Arabidopsis thaliana: one gene and its partners. The protein of the gene in region 2 interacts with the protein of the main gene of each other region in a pairwise test. Each region holds a gene or a part of one and is shown on either strand. Other genes may lie near its edges. The genes, in order: SIP4, J3 and KAI2.

What was found.
Region 1: the proteins of J3 (region 2) and SIP4 interact in a two-hybrid assay, tested with the Arabidopsis thaliana proteins (one study listed by BioGRID).
Region 3: the proteins of J3 (region 2) and KAI2 interact in binary tests that used the Arabidopsis thaliana proteins (3 or more experiments, as listed by UniProt).

What each region holds. Positions count from the first base shown.
Region 1 is NC_003071.7:12,935,362-12,941,427, reverse strand, and holds SIP4 (SOS3-interacting protein 4), read left to right. Parts: upstream 1-2,593; 5' UTR 2,594-2,855; coding exon 2,856-4,163; 3' UTR 4,164-4,449; downstream 4,450-6,066. Other genes in the region: CHAL (allergen-like protein), read left to right, coding at 1-152, 606-851; AT2G30350 (Excinuclease ABC, C subunit, N-terminal), read left to right, coding at 5,686-5,825, 6,019-6,066.
Region 2 is NC_003074.8:15,867,282-15,873,782, reverse strand, and holds J3 (DNAJ homologue 3), read left to right. Parts: upstream 1-2,526; 5' UTR 2,527-2,723; coding exon 2,724-2,876; intron 2,877-3,137; coding exon 3,138-3,303; intron 3,304-3,383; coding exon 3,384-3,522; intron 3,523-3,672; coding exon 3,673-3,949; intron 3,950-4,047; coding exon 4,048-4,246; intron 4,247-4,339; coding exon 4,340-4,668; 3' UTR 4,669-5,152; downstream 5,153-6,501. UniProt on the Arabidopsis thaliana protein: Plays a continuous role in plant development probably in the structural organization of compartments.
Region 3 is NC_003075.7:17,615,029-17,621,005, reverse strand, and holds KAI2 (alpha/beta-Hydrolases superfamily protein), read left to right. Parts: upstream 1-2,349; 5' UTR 2,350-2,642; coding exon 2,643-3,010; intron 3,011-3,516; coding exon 3,517-3,961; 3' UTR 3,962-4,347; downstream 4,348-5,977. Other genes in the region: AT4G37480 (Chaperone DnaJ-domain superfamily protein), read right to left, coding at 165-250, 411-1,289, 1,422-1,745; SRFR1 (Tetratricopeptide repeat (TPR)-like superfamily protein), read left to right, coding at 5,472-5,599, 5,709-5,818.

The DNA of each region.
Region 1 (6,066 bases), on a different chromosome or scaffold from region 2:
GACTGACTGGGCATGCAGAGATGCCATGTACTCCTAAAGAAATTCTCAGCCGTCGGATTGGTTTCAGCGCACACGAGGACAAGGACAGTACTCAACTTTTGGTTCGTTCACCACTCGTGGGACCCTGCCTTGCTTACGATCTCGATCGAGTGGTAATATTAGCCCCCACGGTGCACGTTAACGTATGACAGGCTCTTGGAACTTCTCAATCTCTCTGCCCTTTTTGGTAATGTGCGTAGCGCTTTTTCCGGAGCGGTTTTCCCGCGTCTTGTCTCACATCCCCAACCCTGTCTTAAAAATGTTTTTTACCTAAACTGCGCATTTTAACAATAATATGCGTATGTCAGCATGAAATCGCACGTTAGTAACGCAGTCCTCTCACTATCTTATGTTGATAGCAGCTGAAATTGAGTTCACTAGAAGATACTAATTATTGAACGTTAATTAGAAAATACTAATTATTCTTGATTAACCATATTGTTTGGTTTGTTTTACTAGATGTATTATCCTAATGAAGAAAATAATAAATTAGGATATGTATACGTTTGAATATATATTTAGTAATGAAAAATGTGATAATATGTACGTTTTGAGTATGTGTTCAGGAGGAAGGCAAGAGTACCGTAGTGATAAAGAAGACTAGGAAGATCGGTGACCGGAGCAAGGAGGCAGAGCTACGGAGGATTCTAAGGGGATTGGGCTCATCTCCACCACGGTGCTCCTCCAAGTGTGGAAGATGCACTCCGTGCAAGCCTGTTCACGTTCCGGTGCCTCCCGGCACGCCTGTCACCGCCGAATACTACCCGGAAGCTTGGAGATGCAAGTGCGGCAACAAGTTGTACATGCCATGATCTTTTATAATATATATACTCACATATATACATTATATATATGAATTATATGCATGTTCGTAGTTATATCTTGCCTCTACTCCAAATATTTATTATACATTGACATGTTGCTAGGACAACCTCAACGTGAAACTTTTGCTGATAAATTGATTGATGATGCTCGTATAGACGATATGACGTTCTTAGCATATGATTTCGTATATGGTGACATAATTCATGAATAATATCAACATTTGGTGTCAAAAGGAAACATATTTCTTGTCTTCTTCTTCAACGTACTTGCTTATAATGAACAAAAAATAAAAAAACGTACTCGCTTTCTAATAAGTATCACATAGGTTTAGGCTCATAAACATATGGACTAACATAAATAAACCAAAAGCCCAATAACATTACTCTTAGCATATACATATAAGTAAACTATTAACATCTGTCTGCGGGACTCGTTGATTTCATTTAAATTCTGTAGTCTCAGCTCGTTCAATTTAATCTATTCGTACACACTGATAATATTCAAGAAAACATATGCTAACGTATAACGTATTACGTATCCAAATACACCTTACACCACTCACACATAGCCCATATATAAAAGTTTGAAGGATTTAAAGTCGCAGACTCGCGGTCATTTTTTTTCTTTAAAGTCGCAGTCATTGACTGACTGATTCTTCTTTCTTATTGAAAGGTTTTTTATGTAAAGACGAAAGTTTAATCAGGATGTGAATATGGTACGGCCCATGTTCTTTATTCCTTTTTTTTTTTTTGGTGCAAAGTTCTTTCTTATTCTATGTTAGAAAAATAATCAAATTACCGACGCGAGCAAAGGTTATTATTTCCTGGCTATTAGTCTATAACTGATAAATAATTAGTCAATCAGATCAAACAATAGAGAAATAATTAGTCTGCAATCAGCGATTATTAAAAAATAAAATAAAATAGAAACATATCTCAGCACCGATTTTTCAACAGCCGGCCCACGATCCAGAACCGTCCAGCTTGAAGCCGGCGCCGCGTCGACTTGTTCCACCGTTCGGATATTGCCACGTGTGTGAGAGACACCTGCCATTACCTCGTGGAACATGTTTTGTTAGTATAAGTTACTAACCAAGTCGCTATCTTCAATTCTTCATTACCTAAGAGTTGAATAAAAAAACAACCATATACGATGAGACACGCAAATAACTGATATACGAAACAATTATTTATTGATGTACATTCTTCTAACTATAATACTACAAGATTCTGAATAGTTTTAGATGTAAAAAGTACGAGAAGAGTTATGATCAGAGTAAGTTAAGTGATAAGATCATGACACGTAGGCAGAGGAAATAAAGTAGAAACTATCGACAACATAATAATTGAGTGAGTACAAAAACCACGTAATAATTAGGTGTACACTGTAGTCTGTAGATCGATTGTACAAAATGAAAAAACTATATGATTTAAGGAACTAGATATACATATGCATCGACTCAAGAACAGTTGCTTTATGTGAAGACTATCAATTACATTATCGGCTAAATTTGGCTTCATGTGTTGAATAGATGGATTGTGTGCTCAGGTAGTTGTGTCAGTTAATTATAACAGTAAACCTTCACTGCTTCACATATATAAAATTTGGGTTAAAAAAACTTTAACATTTTATTTTTTTAATTGACAACAAACAAATTCTGTAACGGTTACATATAATAGTGCTTCAGTTAAACTCCTTTTTTAGGCAACTCTAATTCCTTTATACCCTTAATCCATTATTATTCTATCGAACTTATCTTTTTAAAAGCTTCCGCGTTACGCCATCACTTCTCCACCATTTAAATACCTAAACCACTTTCTTTCAAATTTCTTATTCCATAAAAAGTAAATTCACAACAAAACCAAAAAAAAAAAAAGAGAAGAAGAATTAGCTTACGTGTTCATCACATCTGCATTACGCGCAAACGAAACAGATTCAAATTCTCCGGCGAAGTTTTCTTATTCATCAATCAATCTCTGGATTCATCAATCATGCCAGAGATCGAGATTGCCGCCGGCAGCGGCGACAACAACGACGCCTTATTCGGTAAATATGAGCTCGGAAAGCTTCTCGGATGCGGCGCATTCGCCAAAGTCTTCCACGCACGTGATCGTCGTACCGGCCAAAGCGTCGCCGTGAAAATCCTCAACAAGAAAAAACTCCTCACAAATCCAGCTCTAGCCAACAACATCAAACGCGAGATCTCAATCATGAGAAGATTATCTCATCCAAACATCGTCAAGCTCCACGAAGTAATGGCGACAAAATCAAAGATCTTCTTCGCAATGGAGTTTGTTAAAGGAGGAGAACTATTCAACAAAATCTCAAAACATGGACGTCTTAGCGAAGATTTAAGCCGGAGATATTTCCAGCAACTGATCTCCGCCGTTGGTTATTGCCACGCTCGCGGTGTTTACCACCGCGATCTCAAACCAGAGAATCTATTAATAGACGAAAACGGAAACTTAAAAGTTTCCGATTTCGGTCTAAGCGCGTTAACGGATCAGATCCGACCCGATGGGTTGTTACATACCTTGTGTGGTACTCCGGCGTACGTTGCGCCGGAGATTCTATCTAAAAAAGGATATGAAGGTGCTAAAGTTGATGTATGGTCTTGTGGAATCGTCTTGTTCGTTCTCGTCGCCGGTTATTTACCGTTTAACGATCCGAATGTGATGAATATGTATAAGAAGATTTATAAAGGAGAGTATCGTTTTCCTCGTTGGATGTCTCCAGATCTGAAACGATTCGTTTCTCGTCTTTTAGATATTAATCCTGAGACTAGAATCACCATTGATGAGATTTTGAAAGATCCTTGGTTTGTTAGAGGAGGTTTTAAACAGATCAAGTTCCACGATGACGAGATCGAAGATCAGAAAGTGGAATCGTCACTAGAAGCTGTGAAGAGTTTAAACGCGTTTGATTTGATTTCTTACTCGTCGGGATTGGATTTGTCGGGATTGTTTGCTGGTTGTAGTAATTCGAGTGGTGAATCGGAGAGGTTTTTATCGGAAAAGTCGCCGGAGATGTTGGCGGAGGAAGTGGAGGGGTTTGCGAGAGAGGAGAATCTGAGGATGAAGAAGAAGAAGGAGGAAGAGTATGGGTTTGAGATGGAGGGGCAAAATGGGAAATTTGGTATCGGGATTTGTATTTCGCGGTTGAATGATTTGCTTGTGGTGGTGGAGGCACGGCGGAGAGGTGGTGATGGTGATTGTTATAAGGAGATGTGGAATGGTAAACTCAGGGTTCAACTTATTCGCGTTTGCGATCAGACGTCGTCAACAAACGCGGCTATTTAAAAGAACGCTATGAAGTTTTCTACCGTGCTTTCAATTTTAAAACGCCAATCGCGTTTCGTTGGTTGGATTTGGTTTCTACTACTTTTGTTTCGGAATTAAAAACAGAGAAAAAATAATAAAAATTAATGTATGTATTTAAATACTGTACCAAATTGTAGGTATCTATTTTGTGCTTTTTGATCAATGTGTTACTATGTACAACAACAAGTCTAAAATTGCATTTGTAGATACTTCACTCTTTTGTATAATGTAGAAAATGTTCTTCTATTTATAGTTTGGATTTTCCAATTTTACACATTTGTACATAACTACTTTTTAAAATCAACCATGCAAATTGTATTAAGTTAAAGTGCATGATAACCAAATCAGATTAATAACCAATGAATTGAAAATAAAAAGTAGATAAATTACTAAAATAAAATAATCTCTAAATCGCATAAACTCATCTAAACTCTCAAAAATCCATACATTACACATTTTTTTTTTTTTCAAAAAGGCTTTCAATTCTATACATTTTTCTGCTTATCAAATATGGCTTCTTCACTTTAATATTTATGTATAGAATTGAAAGCATTTTTGAAAGAAAAACTTTGTGTAATGTATTATTGAACAAATGAAATGATTGAAATGGGAGTTCCACATCCAGTGAAGAAAAAGCATTAAAAAGTATGTATAGAATCAGGGAACTTCAAAAATTGAAATCTGCAGCTTTATAAAAAGAAAAGCTATTATTGTCTACTTGATTGGATATTACAACTCAAAACGAGTGAAGGTTAAGGAATCATTATCATTATTAAAGCATCATCATAAGCACCAGCCTTTTGTTATTCTTCTCATCATTTGTTTGGCCAATTTAAAATTTTAATTAATATCATCTCACCATAGTTTCTGCCCACCTTTTGGTTTTAGGTGCAAATGGAAAAACTCTGGCAAATTAGGTTGTTTGGTGTGAATTAGGAAAGTAGAATGCTTATTGAATATTCTTGACTATATCTAAACTCTCTTTATTCACTTGGGTGATTTCCTCATAAAAATATTATTGTACCAAACTCTCTGAAATCAAAGTTTACTATATAGCTAAAATAAAAACCAAAAACTCTACTAAACCAAAGTTAAGAATAAATTCTTTATTAGAGACAAACTCAAAATTGAAAACCATCATTTATTGTATCTGAAAAGTAAAAAGAAAAAGAGGATATAATATGAGGAGAGATTATTTGAAAGCTGAAATTTTAGTTGCGGTAAAATTTGACATAAGTGAGCAAATTTTATAAGCTCTAAAATCAATAGGAGACCTATCACGGTATCACTATCATGATGGGTAACAATGTCATGTGAACCAAGTAAAACAAAATACAGTATAGGAAATGAATTATAAAAAATTGGGCCATTATAAAATTGGGTCATTGAATACAGTGGGCCTTAATCATACATTTCGGCCCATTCTCATCCTTAAGAGATAAAACGGATTTTTTAGTGTAATAATCTGTCGTCTTCAACGGTCGAATTGAATCCAAGAGATATGAGAGAGAAAAGGGGAAATCGGAAAGCCCTAGATCCCGTCGGTGAGGATGGAGTCACCGGAAAAGATGGAAAAGGCTTCTTCGCCTGTTATCTCTTGACCTCTCTTAGCCCTCGTCATAAGGGTCAAACCTATATCGGGTACTTGTTTCTCTCATCTCTGATTTTGGAATTGAAGATTCTGTTGGATCAAATTCGATTGAGAAAGGATTTACATTTTCTGGGTTTATCTGATTGAATACTTAAATTTGATCAAATAGGAGATTTTGAGTGTTTAATAATCAGACTATGAGATGTTTAGTGATTGATTGCATAAACTGGGTTTGGTTGGTAGGTTCACTGTAAACCCGAGGCGGAGAATAAGGCAGCACAATGGAGAGAT
Region 2 (6,501 bases):
TTATGAGTGTTTAATTTATGTTGAATTTTGTTGTTTTATCTCTAATAAATGGAAAAATACAAAATATTTCGATTTATATTCGAAATATATATATTGATGCTGAATATTAAGTTTGGAAGCCCCATTGGCCCAATGGTTGACCAATGGTTCATTAATACTTCTACACCGAGAGGTCTGGGGTTCGAATCCCAGTTACTCCGATTTATTAACAGATTTGCATATTAATCGAGGCAAGTGTGTAGGAGATCTACAACGATGTACAATTATAGCCGTTCGCCAGGATTTTACGCAGAGAAGATATTGAAGATTTTCATCAAGCGCATGGAAAATGAGAAAGAATTTTCGTATGTCGTGGATCTAATAAGGGTCAGAAGGAATTGTCCGTTATCTAGTTGTACTAGTTGTTAATTACCTAATTACCCATGCAAACAATCATTTACTTAGTCTTAAACTACTCTCATGAGGTTGTATTTCACAAAATGTTTCCAATTAATAGTATAGATTATCATGTCATCTTATTTACCAACCTACTTGCATGTTAACAAGAAACTATTATTCACAAAATAATATTATTTTATGTAAATTTTTTTTTTTGCAAAACAAAATATTATAAAAAAAAATATATATATTTTAAACTTCTTTTATGAAATAAAATATTTAGCATAAAACAAAGATAATTTTTATTTTTATTTTTACCTTCGTTAATATCAAATCAAGACTATAAAGTCATTGTACAAAACATCGAACGAAAATTATAACGTAAGCACCATAAAATGAGAAAAATACACAAACTATAGTGATTGACGATGCTTTTGACATATAAGTCTTACTCGTTAACAGATTATTAAATCTATTTTTTTCGTATTTGATCTTACGCTTATGCAAATTATGTTTCTGGATAGCATTTCTTGCTTAAACTTCCATATCGCATACCGTATTTAAAACCATATGCTTCTGATAACAGTTATGAAATATCAACATTATGATACCAAAACTTCCGTATCATAATCACTTTAACTATCTTTGACTTTGTTTTCTCTCACCATTATATCCCGAGAATAAATTATGACGTCTCAGTATAGTATGAGCCATCTTCTGATTGCAATTATATATATATCACATTGTTCTCCACATCATCCAATGATAGCATGTATCCCCAACATCCATGTGTATCTCTTCCAACAAATCTATCTGGATCATATAACTCCTACTTTTATGTGTCTTGGTTTTTAGAGCCACACAATCCTCAACTAGAGAGTTTCCCAAATCTTCAAAAAATCCGAAATAAGTATCAAACAATATCTCAATTTGATTTTCTTCTATAAGTAAAAGAAAGATGAAATGTCAGTAGTGATGACACCAAACAATTTTGGGTTGAGGAACTTCAAAATGTTTTCAAGATAACACCAATCAATTGAAGGGATGGTGAAGAAAACATTCGGACCTGAGTAATCCTTATTATAAATCCCAGAGAAGATGGTAAAATCAGTGATGATCAAATTACTTACCAATATGACGCTCTCTAAAGATGAAGAGAAAGAAACCGTCATCGTTTTCAACCAACAAATTGCTATAACCACGAATGTGTTCTTTAGAGACAAAACCAATTGATGGAGATAGAGTTTGTGAGAACGATAAAGAAGATCGGCGACCAAGGGACACACGATGGAGAGCACTTTGATCGATCGCGTTAGTAGTGAAGATAGAATCGATAGAAAATCGTAACAAAACTTGGGAATCCAGAACCTCATCTTGATAGTTAGAGAGAAGTGTGATGGTGAGCGATCGAGTAAGCGGATAATAAAATCTATAAAAATCAAAGTTCAATCGCTAGTGTCACCTTTTACAGTTGTAACTCCGACAATACAAATTATTTACTTTAGAAGAGAATTAAGAAAAAAAAGAAAAAAAGAGTCGCCGACGAACCGACAATTGTCAGTGACTCTAAAAACAAATATACAAAGATAAAAAACCAAACAAAAAAATAACAAAATTAAATTTCTTTCACGAAATATATTTTTCTAAATTATCAAATGAAAAAATATTTTTTTACGCTCTTTAACAAAACTCTAATAATTAGTTTTTTTTTGTGAATCGATTGTAAAATTTTTTAGTTATGTTGAGAAGAATAACACAATTTTTTTTTCTTTTACATAAAAAACTTATGTGAGTTTTATAAAAAGTAACGTGAGTTACATAAAACTCATGTAGTTTTATAATTTGTTATTATGTTGCTCGTATAAAAATTTATTTACTTAATATTGTAACAAAACAAAACAAATTTTTTTGAAAAAAATCGTCATAAAAAAAAAGTCAATATAATCTTTTTTTTGTCAAACAAGTCAATATAATCTTAGTAGTCGTTGTTGTACAACAAACATCTACAATATACTTTTCTGTCTACCCAAATAATATAATTTTCCTCTTTTGTATTCAAAAAAATAATAATTTATCTCTACATGTTGGAAATATCAAATATAGTAATAATGTTTTTAAGAGAAAAAAAGGAAAAAAGAAAGTAATAAAACATTCTAGAGAGTTCCAAACTCCACAAAACCTCAAACAAAAGCAAACGCAATTTAGCCTCTTCATAAGAGAGAAGTCCTCTCAGAGAAACGGCAGCCACATCAACCAACCCAAACATCGAAAGAGAGACACTTTTCTCTCTCTCTTTCTCTATCTCCTTCCAATCTCTCTAGGGTTTTCGTTACAACGGCGAAAAGATGTTCGGTAGAGGACCCTCGAAGAAGAGCGACAACACTAAGTTCTACGAGATCTTAGGTGTTCCTAAGAGCGCTTCACCAGAAGATCTCAAGAAAGCTTACAAAAAAGCCGCTATCAAGAATCATCCTGATAAGGGTGGAGATCCCGAGAAGGTGAATAATTTCTTAGATCCGCTTAGATTCTCTCGAATTCGATTGTTTGATTGTGTTTTTTTTTTCGATTGATTTGTTGTCTTGTTAGTTTCTTAATGTTGAATTTTGATCCGATCTGATAAAAAAGTTTGAGTTTTGGCGATTAATCAAAAATTAGGGTTTTGATGATATAGATGTGTCTTGCTTTGATAATTGAGTGGTTAAAGTTTGGTTCTTTGTTAGGTTATGAGTTTGATTTGTTGTGTTATGTGTTGATTGCAGTTTAAGGAGTTAGCACAAGCTTATGAAGTGCTTAGTGACCCGGAGAAGCGTGAGATTTATGACCAGTATGGAGAGGATGCACTCAAGGAAGGAATGGGTGGTGGAGGAGGTGGACATGATCCATTTGATATTTTCTCATCCTTCTTTGGTGGAGGCCCCTTTGGAGGTGAGTCTCCTTGGACACTGTACACTTTATGATATCGCAATTGAGAATTTTCGTTTGAATATGTTTCTGTTTTTGAATAGGTAATACCAGCCGGCAAAGGAGGCAGAGGCGTGGTGAGGATGTTGTTCATCCCTTGAAGGTATCTCTTGAGGATGTGTACCTTGGTACAATGAAGAAGCTTTCACTTTCTAGGAATGCTCTCTGCTCTAAGTGTAACGGGTTAGTACATTCGACTCGATCTTGCGTTTTTGGTGTAGCTATATGTGTCCTAGGTTCATAATAATATGAATTAGCTTAAGTTTTGACAGAAACCCTTTATCTCAATTTGTGACCCCAGTTGGTTAAAAGGTTCTGAATTTGTGATTGCAGAAAGGGATCAAAATCTGGAGCCTCCTTGAAATGTGGAGGGTGTCAGGGATCTGGTATGAAGGTGTCTATTAGGCAGCTTGGACCTGGAATGATCCAGCAGATGCAGCATGCATGTAATGAATGCAAAGGGACAGGTGAGACCATCAATGATCGGGACAGGTGTCCACAATGCAAAGGAGACAAGGTCATTCCTGAGAAGAAGGTGCTTGAAGTGAATGTGGAGAAGGGAATGCAACACAGTCAGAAGATCACATTTGAAGGACAAGCAGATGAAGCGGTATCTACTCTCATACATTTACTCCAGCTTTGATTACTAGTATGTTTACTTTTCTTCTGGAGACTAACCTTTTGTTTTATGTTTTTGTGTTGGTGCAGCCTGACACTGTCACTGGAGATATAGTGTTTGTCCTTCAGCAGAAAGAGCACCCAAAGTTCAAGAGAAAGGGAGAAGACCTCTTTGTGGAGCACACACTTTCTCTAACCGAAGCTTTGTGTGGCTTCCAATTTGTTCTGACTCACTTGGATGGCAGAAGTCTTCTCATTAAATCTAATCCTGGGGAGGTCGTGAAACCTGGTACGTATTCAGATGCATCGTCATACTCAGATTTTACAGTTACTATAACTGTCTCTGATTGAAACATGATCACTTATCTTATGTGTTTGACAGATTCATACAAGGCAATAAGCGATGAAGGAATGCCGATATACCAGAGGCCATTCATGAAGGGTAAGCTCTACATCCACTTCACAGTGGAGTTCCCGGACTCGTTGAGCCCAGATCAGACCAAAGCACTGGAAGCTGTTCTACCTAAGCCGTCAACAGCTCAGTTGAGTGACATGGAGATAGATGAATGCGAGGAGACCACGCTCCACGATGTCAACATTGAGGATGAGATGAGGAGGAAGGCACAAGCTCAAAGAGAGGCTTATGATGATGACGATGAAGATGATGACCATCCGGGTGGTGCTCAAAGGGTGCAATGTGCCCAGCAGTAAGTAACTCCTTAGAGAGACTTTGACCCACATGGGTTTGGGCTCCAACCAATTTGTCTCTTGCTTTTTCATTCTAAGTGTATTGGAGTCTTTATGGGAGTTTGGTACGGTTTAAGAATTTGCCCACTTCGGTGGAACATCGAAACTTGTTTTCTCTTTTTCCTCTGACTTTAAAAATTAAGGCCTTATTACAATTTTGTGTTTTTTCTTTATGATTAAATTTGTAGTAATTTAATGTCTAAGAACATATATACTGTGTGTTTTCTATATTGATATGGATTTAAAATTCAATAATTTTTGTGTTCATGCAGAACAAATGCTGCTATATAGTCTAAGATGTTCATATTTATCCTTTTTGTTGTATATGTCACCATGTTTTGGGTGTTAACTCCGATGACATGTACGTACGAACTACAGTAAAAACTCTATAAATTAGTAAAAACTCTATAAATTAGTAAAAAATGTATTAATAATGTTCGGACGACGCAATTTTATTAATTTATAGTGATATTAATTTATTTTATAAACTAATATTTATTAATTTATCTTATAAGTTAATAAAATATTAATTTATAGAAATATTTACGTAAAATATAATATTATATTTTTTAAAAATGTTTCTTAATTTAATTTTCTATATGCTTTGTTGTTTGCATATATAATTATGTCAGCTTTTTATTTTTCTTTGACTTCTTTAATTTATTTTTTGGCAATATCTTGTGACTGTATATTTACGAAATTAACGTGAATGTAAACGTAAACATAAACATGAAAGTTTAATCCAATTTCTCTTTACACAAATCTTAGCAATGCTTTCTCAAATAAAAGATTTTATAAAATCAACTATGACGGATCAAATACGCAAATAGTTATGTGAGTACAATAGAGATCATACCAGTTGTATTTTAAAAAGAGTTGTAATTGTAGCTTGAACAAAAATTTTATATAAAATTAGTTTTAAAATTAGCAAAAAAATTGTACCAAACCAAACCAAAAATTAGAAAATAAAATAACCGAATTAATACTAAATTTTATAATCAAAAGAACCGAACTAAATCGATACCGAATCAAAATATTTTGGGTAATCGAAAATAACAGAAATAAAAATATTTTTTATAACTATTAGTTATTTCTAAACTAAATAATTAAAAATATTTAAAAATATATATAATAGTAAAAATATTAAAAATAATAAAAAATATCCGATATATCTAAAATAACCAAAAATATCTAAAATATTCAAAAATAATCAAAATATCTGAAAATATTCAAAATTAAATAGTCGAATGTATATTAAATTTAAAACCGAAAGAATCAAAATTAAACTGTAACCGAACCAAAATTTCAAAATAATCGAATAGATATTAAACTTTAGAAAAAAACCCCGATAATCCAATGGTTTCAAACTGAAACTGAATAGATAACATATTACCTTGCGAAACTTCCGTAGGTCAAATGGGCTTAAGCCCATAGAACCATAGCCACACAACTGATGTGGTGGACTGGTTAATGCCGCGTAGTCAGAGTCTTTTCTGGTTTTCGTTTGAAAAAAACATCATGTAATTTAGAACGAATAGAGATAGAGAAGCAACATGGAGCCCTGGTGCTGGAAGCAGCTACAGCTAGTTTAGTGATGAGACACGTGCACCTAATTCTAATAAATAAATAAATCAATTCCCAATAAGTCAAAACGACTAAATAAAAAACATTTTCTCTGTAAAAAAATCTAGAACCGTTAGATTGTTAGATGTGTTCAGAGACCGTTGGATTCCATTTCTTTGTCAAAAGACTCAAAACTACCCAAAACTCTTCCATCTTCACCAAATTCTCTCAATC
Region 3 (5,977 bases), on a different chromosome or scaffold from region 2:
GCATTTCAACAAAGGAAACTACAGAATTCTGTGTTCCAGATATCAATTTATTGAATTGCATTCTAACGAAGATGAAAACAGTGAAAAGGCTGTCCAATCTTGTTATTTTATCGAGTTAAAGGTGAGCCAGAACTAAAATAAAACAAAAATAATATTTGGCTTACTTGCTTGGTGGTAACTTCGCTCTACTGCATCTACATTCACAAATGGAAACCTTTTCCCCAATTTTGTACCAGTGCAAATGTCTCACCTGTAGAGTGTGGATGAAGAATTTTCATACATGCCTATTCCATCAAATAACTAGCGGATCATATCTCTATATGCATCACAGAACAATTCCCCGAAAAAGTACACGTTGTAATTTGCGAAAGGTACATAAAAAGAAATGCTAGATCATATAAGTCACAAACCAGAAATGTCCTATGTTTCATTATCACATGAGTCTTAGCACCATTCCCATCATAGACATAACATGAACCTTCATCTGGGATTGTCCCAAGACCACTTATAGTTCCAACAAGAAGTCTGGCACCACTTTCATTTCCCGGAGGCGATTCAGTGCCATGATTAGATCCTTCATCTGAATTGAGGAAAACGTGTATAAGATCGTGATCACCCTCAATTTGTTTCTTTTCATGATACCCTTTTGGGGGAACCCTAATGGCTGTAGCAACAACTCTTCCAGATACATGCAGCTGAATATCTTTATACGCATCAGAAACATGGTTTTTACTTCTTGAAGATTGTATATGAGATATCTGAAGACCAATCCTTTCAGCAGACATCATGTCATTGTTGCCTTTCTCAACTGCTTGACCAAGGTCCGAATCCATAAACGACGACAAAGCCAATTTCTTTGAGCAAGCAGAAGAAAGCTCAAGGAAGTTATCAACCAAGGAAACCATACCAAAAAGATCCCGTCCTGATACCAAATGCAAAACCTCTCGTGTATCATACACAGACCTTTCCTCAGCTTCAAAACAATCAGGAAGAAGCTCAACAGATTCAACATCAGGCCCAAAGTAGGCCGCTCGTATAGCTGAATAAAAATCTTCTTCAAGTTCATCTAAGTAACCAGTACCATTTGCTACTCTCTTCTCCAATACTATATCATGTATTGCTTCTCTATACCACTTTAACCATTCAACTACTTCCATCTCTTGACTCAATGTCAATCCTGTTTTATACCTGTGAATCATATAACCTTGTCCCGAGTGCTTCTTCATTACCATTCTCCGAGATAGCAAATATCTATCATAGTGTGCTCTCTTTTCAGAATCTGATAGAATCTGTATCATCACCACAAATCATTCATCAGACACTTCTAAAGCTATAACTCTATCACAAAAGCTTGAAAAGCTTGAAATTTTCGATTTTGAAACTAATCATAAGAGTGAAGAGTGAAGCTTTCTTCATTGTACCTCATAAGCAGCGAGAATCTGAACGAATCGTCTCGAATTTGATGGATCTTTCTTGGATTCGATCAGATCAGGATGAGTCTCCTTGGCGAGTCTGCGAAATGATGCTTTGATCTCTGCGATTGAGCTGGTTTCGGAGACATTCAAGATATCGTAAGCGTTCTCCACCGGAAACTCGTTCCGATTGGACTCAGCCTCGCCGCTCAGCAACCGAGTTCTTCCTTGACTCGGGTTAAAGAGAATTCGCGACGGTTCGAAACCGTAATTCAGTTGAACCGGAACTAATCTACTAAAACGCCGGCGTATCAACCCGGCGAGAATCGTCATTTCACGACCAGTATGGTTTACTCAGGTGGGAACGGAGACCGGAAGTGGAAAGAGGATAACGGCACGCCGATGACACGTGGGTCTCTCGATTTCACGCCACGTCATCACGAGTTCAGACTTTATTGGTCAACAGTAAAAACGGTCTTAGGAAAGAGAGAACATGAAGCCATATTACACTAAATGGGCCTTGAATTTTAATGGGCCAGGATCCTCTCACAGATATTTTTGACTCTTAAAATGATGAGGAAGTGGATGTGAATACGTGGTCGTATACTCACCATGGCATTCCATGAATAATTAATGTCTTCTAACTTCTAAATGATCGAAAAGTACTGACAAGTTAAAGTCAAGCAGAAAAAAACAAATATTATGAGGTTTTTAGATGCTATATTCATTGCAAGTTGTATACATGCGAAATTTAACTAGTGTTGTTAAAATAATAATTATATCAGCTTTTGACTATTTGCTGCCACTCTTTGAATGATTGAAACTAATTTTCTTTCGCATTAATGCATTGTTGAAATTCATGCACAAAATTAAAAATAATTGGTTCATGTATTTGTAACCCAATGTAACAATTTTATTGTTGAACAGAAGTCAGTAACTCCACGTCATGTACTCCATTAAATGTTCCAAAATATTTTGGGCTTGATTCCAAAAAACAAATTATCACGAATAGCGATGTTTGACAATCCAACAAACATGGTTCCATTCACCTTTTTTTGCCACCTGTAAATCGCGATATTTTAAATAATTTATTTCCTCTTCCACAGATACGAATTTTTTTATAAAGAATAATACGTAACACTCTAAAACAACACAAATATCATAATTTCTCCACGAACTGACTAAGAGAGGTACCAAGAAGAAAACCAGAGAAGAATCTTCTTTAGAGAGATGGGTGTGGTAGAAGAAGCTCACAACGTGAAGGTGATTGGTTCAGGAGAAGCCACGATCGTGTTAGGTCACGGGTTCGGCACGGACCAGTCAGTATGGAAACACTTGGTTCCACATCTGGTCGACGATTACCGCGTCGTCCTCTACGACAACATGGGAGCCGGTACGACCAACCCTGACTATTTCGACTTCGATCGTTACTCAAATCTCGAAGGCTACTCTTTCGATTTGATTGCAATCTTGGAAGATCTCAAGATTGAGTCTTGTATCTTTGTTGGCCACTCTGTTTCTGCCATGATTGGTGTCTTGGCTTCTCTTAACCGTCCTGATCTCTTCTCCAAAATCGTCATGATCTCTGCTTCTCCGAGGTATAACTTTTTCACAAGTTGTACATAGAAATATGTTTTGCTTTTTATCTCATCCTGACATAGTTTAGACAAAAGGGCTTCTCTGTTCCTTCTCTTGTCTGATTTCATAAAAACTATTAAACATTACAATTTAAATAAAAAAAAATCATCTTAAGTCCTTAAATTTACACAATTATCTATTATTTCGAAATATTTATTTCTCATTCTGACATAATTTCGACAAAGTGCCTCTTTGTTTATCCTCTTGTCTGAATTATCCTATTTCTCAAAATCAGTGAAGCATTTCATTATATATTTCAATAAAAATCCGTAAATTATGAACAAAAAATCATGAAATACCCATTTGTTTATTTGTTTTTTTTTATTTGGTTTTACTGAGGTGTTACTTACACTTTTTTTAAAAAAAATTGTTGAAACGGTGCTCACACAGTATATTATATATTTTAATTTTCTTCTGACAAAAGAAACATATATAATCAAATTATATTGTTTTGGTACGTTTATAGATACGTAAACGATGTTGATTACCAAGGTGGATTCGAACAAGAAGACTTAAACCAACTATTCGAAGCCATCCGAAGCAACTACAAAGCGTGGTGCTTAGGTTTCGCTCCACTCGCCGTCGGTGGCGACATGGACTCCATCGCCGTTCAAGAATTCAGCAGAACACTCTTCAATATGCGTCCCGACATAGCTCTCTCCGTCGGCCAGACCATTTTCCAAAGTGACATGAGACAGATCTTACCTTTTGTCACTGTTCCGTGTCACATTCTCCAAAGTGTTAAGGACTTAGCTGTACCAGTCGTTGTCTCCGAGTATCTTCACGCCAATCTTGGCTGTGAATCCGTCGTCGAGGTTATTCCTTCTGATGGTCATCTTCCTCAGCTTAGCTCACCAGATTCTGTTATTCCTGTCATCCTCCGTCACATTCGTAATGACATTGCTATGTGATTGTAAGAGATTTAATTAGTTAATTATTAAACGATGTAAGAAAAGTTGAAAAAAAATATCTGATGTGATATGTCTGTCTAGTCTATTGAGAACATTATTTCGTTGTCGTTTGGTTCTGATTCGTTTATCTTGAGTATCTTGATCTTTGTTGTTCTTATCTTGTTTAACGAAAAGTCTCTGTCTTTTGTCCACAGCTTTGCTCAGAGCTCATTATTGCTTGATGTAATAGTGATGTTCGTAATTGATGGTCCATAGTGAATTATTGCAACTTTGCAAGAGTGCTTGTGCTATACTGTGTGAAGAGTAATTAACATGTGATACTAGGAATTAGCATTGAGTTTGCATTTATGGATGGGTAATCCAAACCATAAAACATACATATTGTGATGGTTTTGAAATTTGTTTGTTTGTGAACAAAAATTAGCCAAGTTTTAAACAAAGTAAAATGAAAATTTAGGGTTTTGAATTAGGATGGAGTTAAGTCATATTTTGTTAGGTTTGTTTGCTTATGAAATTATGGATTTGTTTGATGTTATTATAGGGATGCGGTGCAAAAGATATTGTTTTCTATATTATCATTTATCACTAATAACTTTCAAATTTTATTGACGCGCCTGCTCAGATTTTATTCGATTTGTTGTTTATGAAATTAGTTATAGATTGGTAAGTAAATAGCTTTAAAAAATTAGTGATACAAAACAAAATGGTAAATATTGTATTGCTTCTTACTAGTCAATACTATGATTAAACTTCCATTTTATAATTCACTTTATATAAAACTTCTATTTATTTTCTTAAAATTATTTTATTATTGAAATTTAAATATCATTTGGTACAATATTATTTCTTCATCACTAGTCAAATACTATGATTAGCCTACCCAAAAAAAAAGTCAAATACTATGATTAAACTTCCATTTTTTTAAAATTCATTGCAGGTCATACAATTTAAATGTTTACATAGTCATGAAAGAATTGAGAACATATATATACTTCAAATTTGTTCTCCAATACAGTCACACACCTAACTTCAATTTGCTTAGAATTTCTTTGGCAAGACGATTAACAGAGCTAGCCCATTGTAAAAGGGTAATAAATAATAAGTGGGCTAGGCCCATATATACACAACAAAAAGTCACGTGACAAGAAACTTCATACGTGTGCGACTCTTGCCCCAAAATTTGATTAGCACCACTTATTGAGAAGCAGCAGCAGCACCACAAGCACCACCACCAGTATCACATTCACATTCACCATCATCGTCTCTTCGCTCTTATCTCTCCGTTACTTTTTTATTTACTATCTCTCTCTTCCCCGTTACTTTTTTTTCTTCCCCGTTTCGTTCTCCGTCAAAGTCTTCTCTCTTTACCATTTTCTCCACTGTACTAATTTCCCTTTTTACCCCTAAACCCATCGTTCCCGTGACACGACGGCCACGAAGAAGAGGGATAAAATTGAGAAAGATTAAATAGGCGATTGATTTCTCCATCGGAGACACCACCGCTCAAAAAATGGCGACGGCGACGGCGACATCGGAACGATTCGAGTTAGCCAAGCACTGCAGTTCACGGAACTGGTCTAAAGCGATCCGAGTTCTCGATTCGCTCCTTGCTAAGGAGTCTTCAATTTTGGATATATGGTTTGGTTTCGAGATCTTTGTTCTCTCATTCAATTTCTCCGGATCGGTATCAATGATTTTTCTCCCGTTAATCTCAGTATTTTTTTTTGAATTGGGAATTTGGTTTCAGCAATAGAGCGTTTTGTTATAATCAATTGGAGCTTCACAAGCATGTGATTAAGGACTGTGACAAGGCACTTCTGCTTGAACCTTTTGCCATTCAAGCTTTTATTCTCAAAGGTTAGTTCACTTCCAAGCTTTGACTTGAGTGCTTCATAGTTTCTCTGGGAATTGAGTTTGATTCTCGGGATAGCTTCAGAACTAGAATTAGGGGTTTAGATAATGCTATAGTGCCTGCTAGTTATGACGATATAATGGTTGCTTAAGAATATCTGTTAA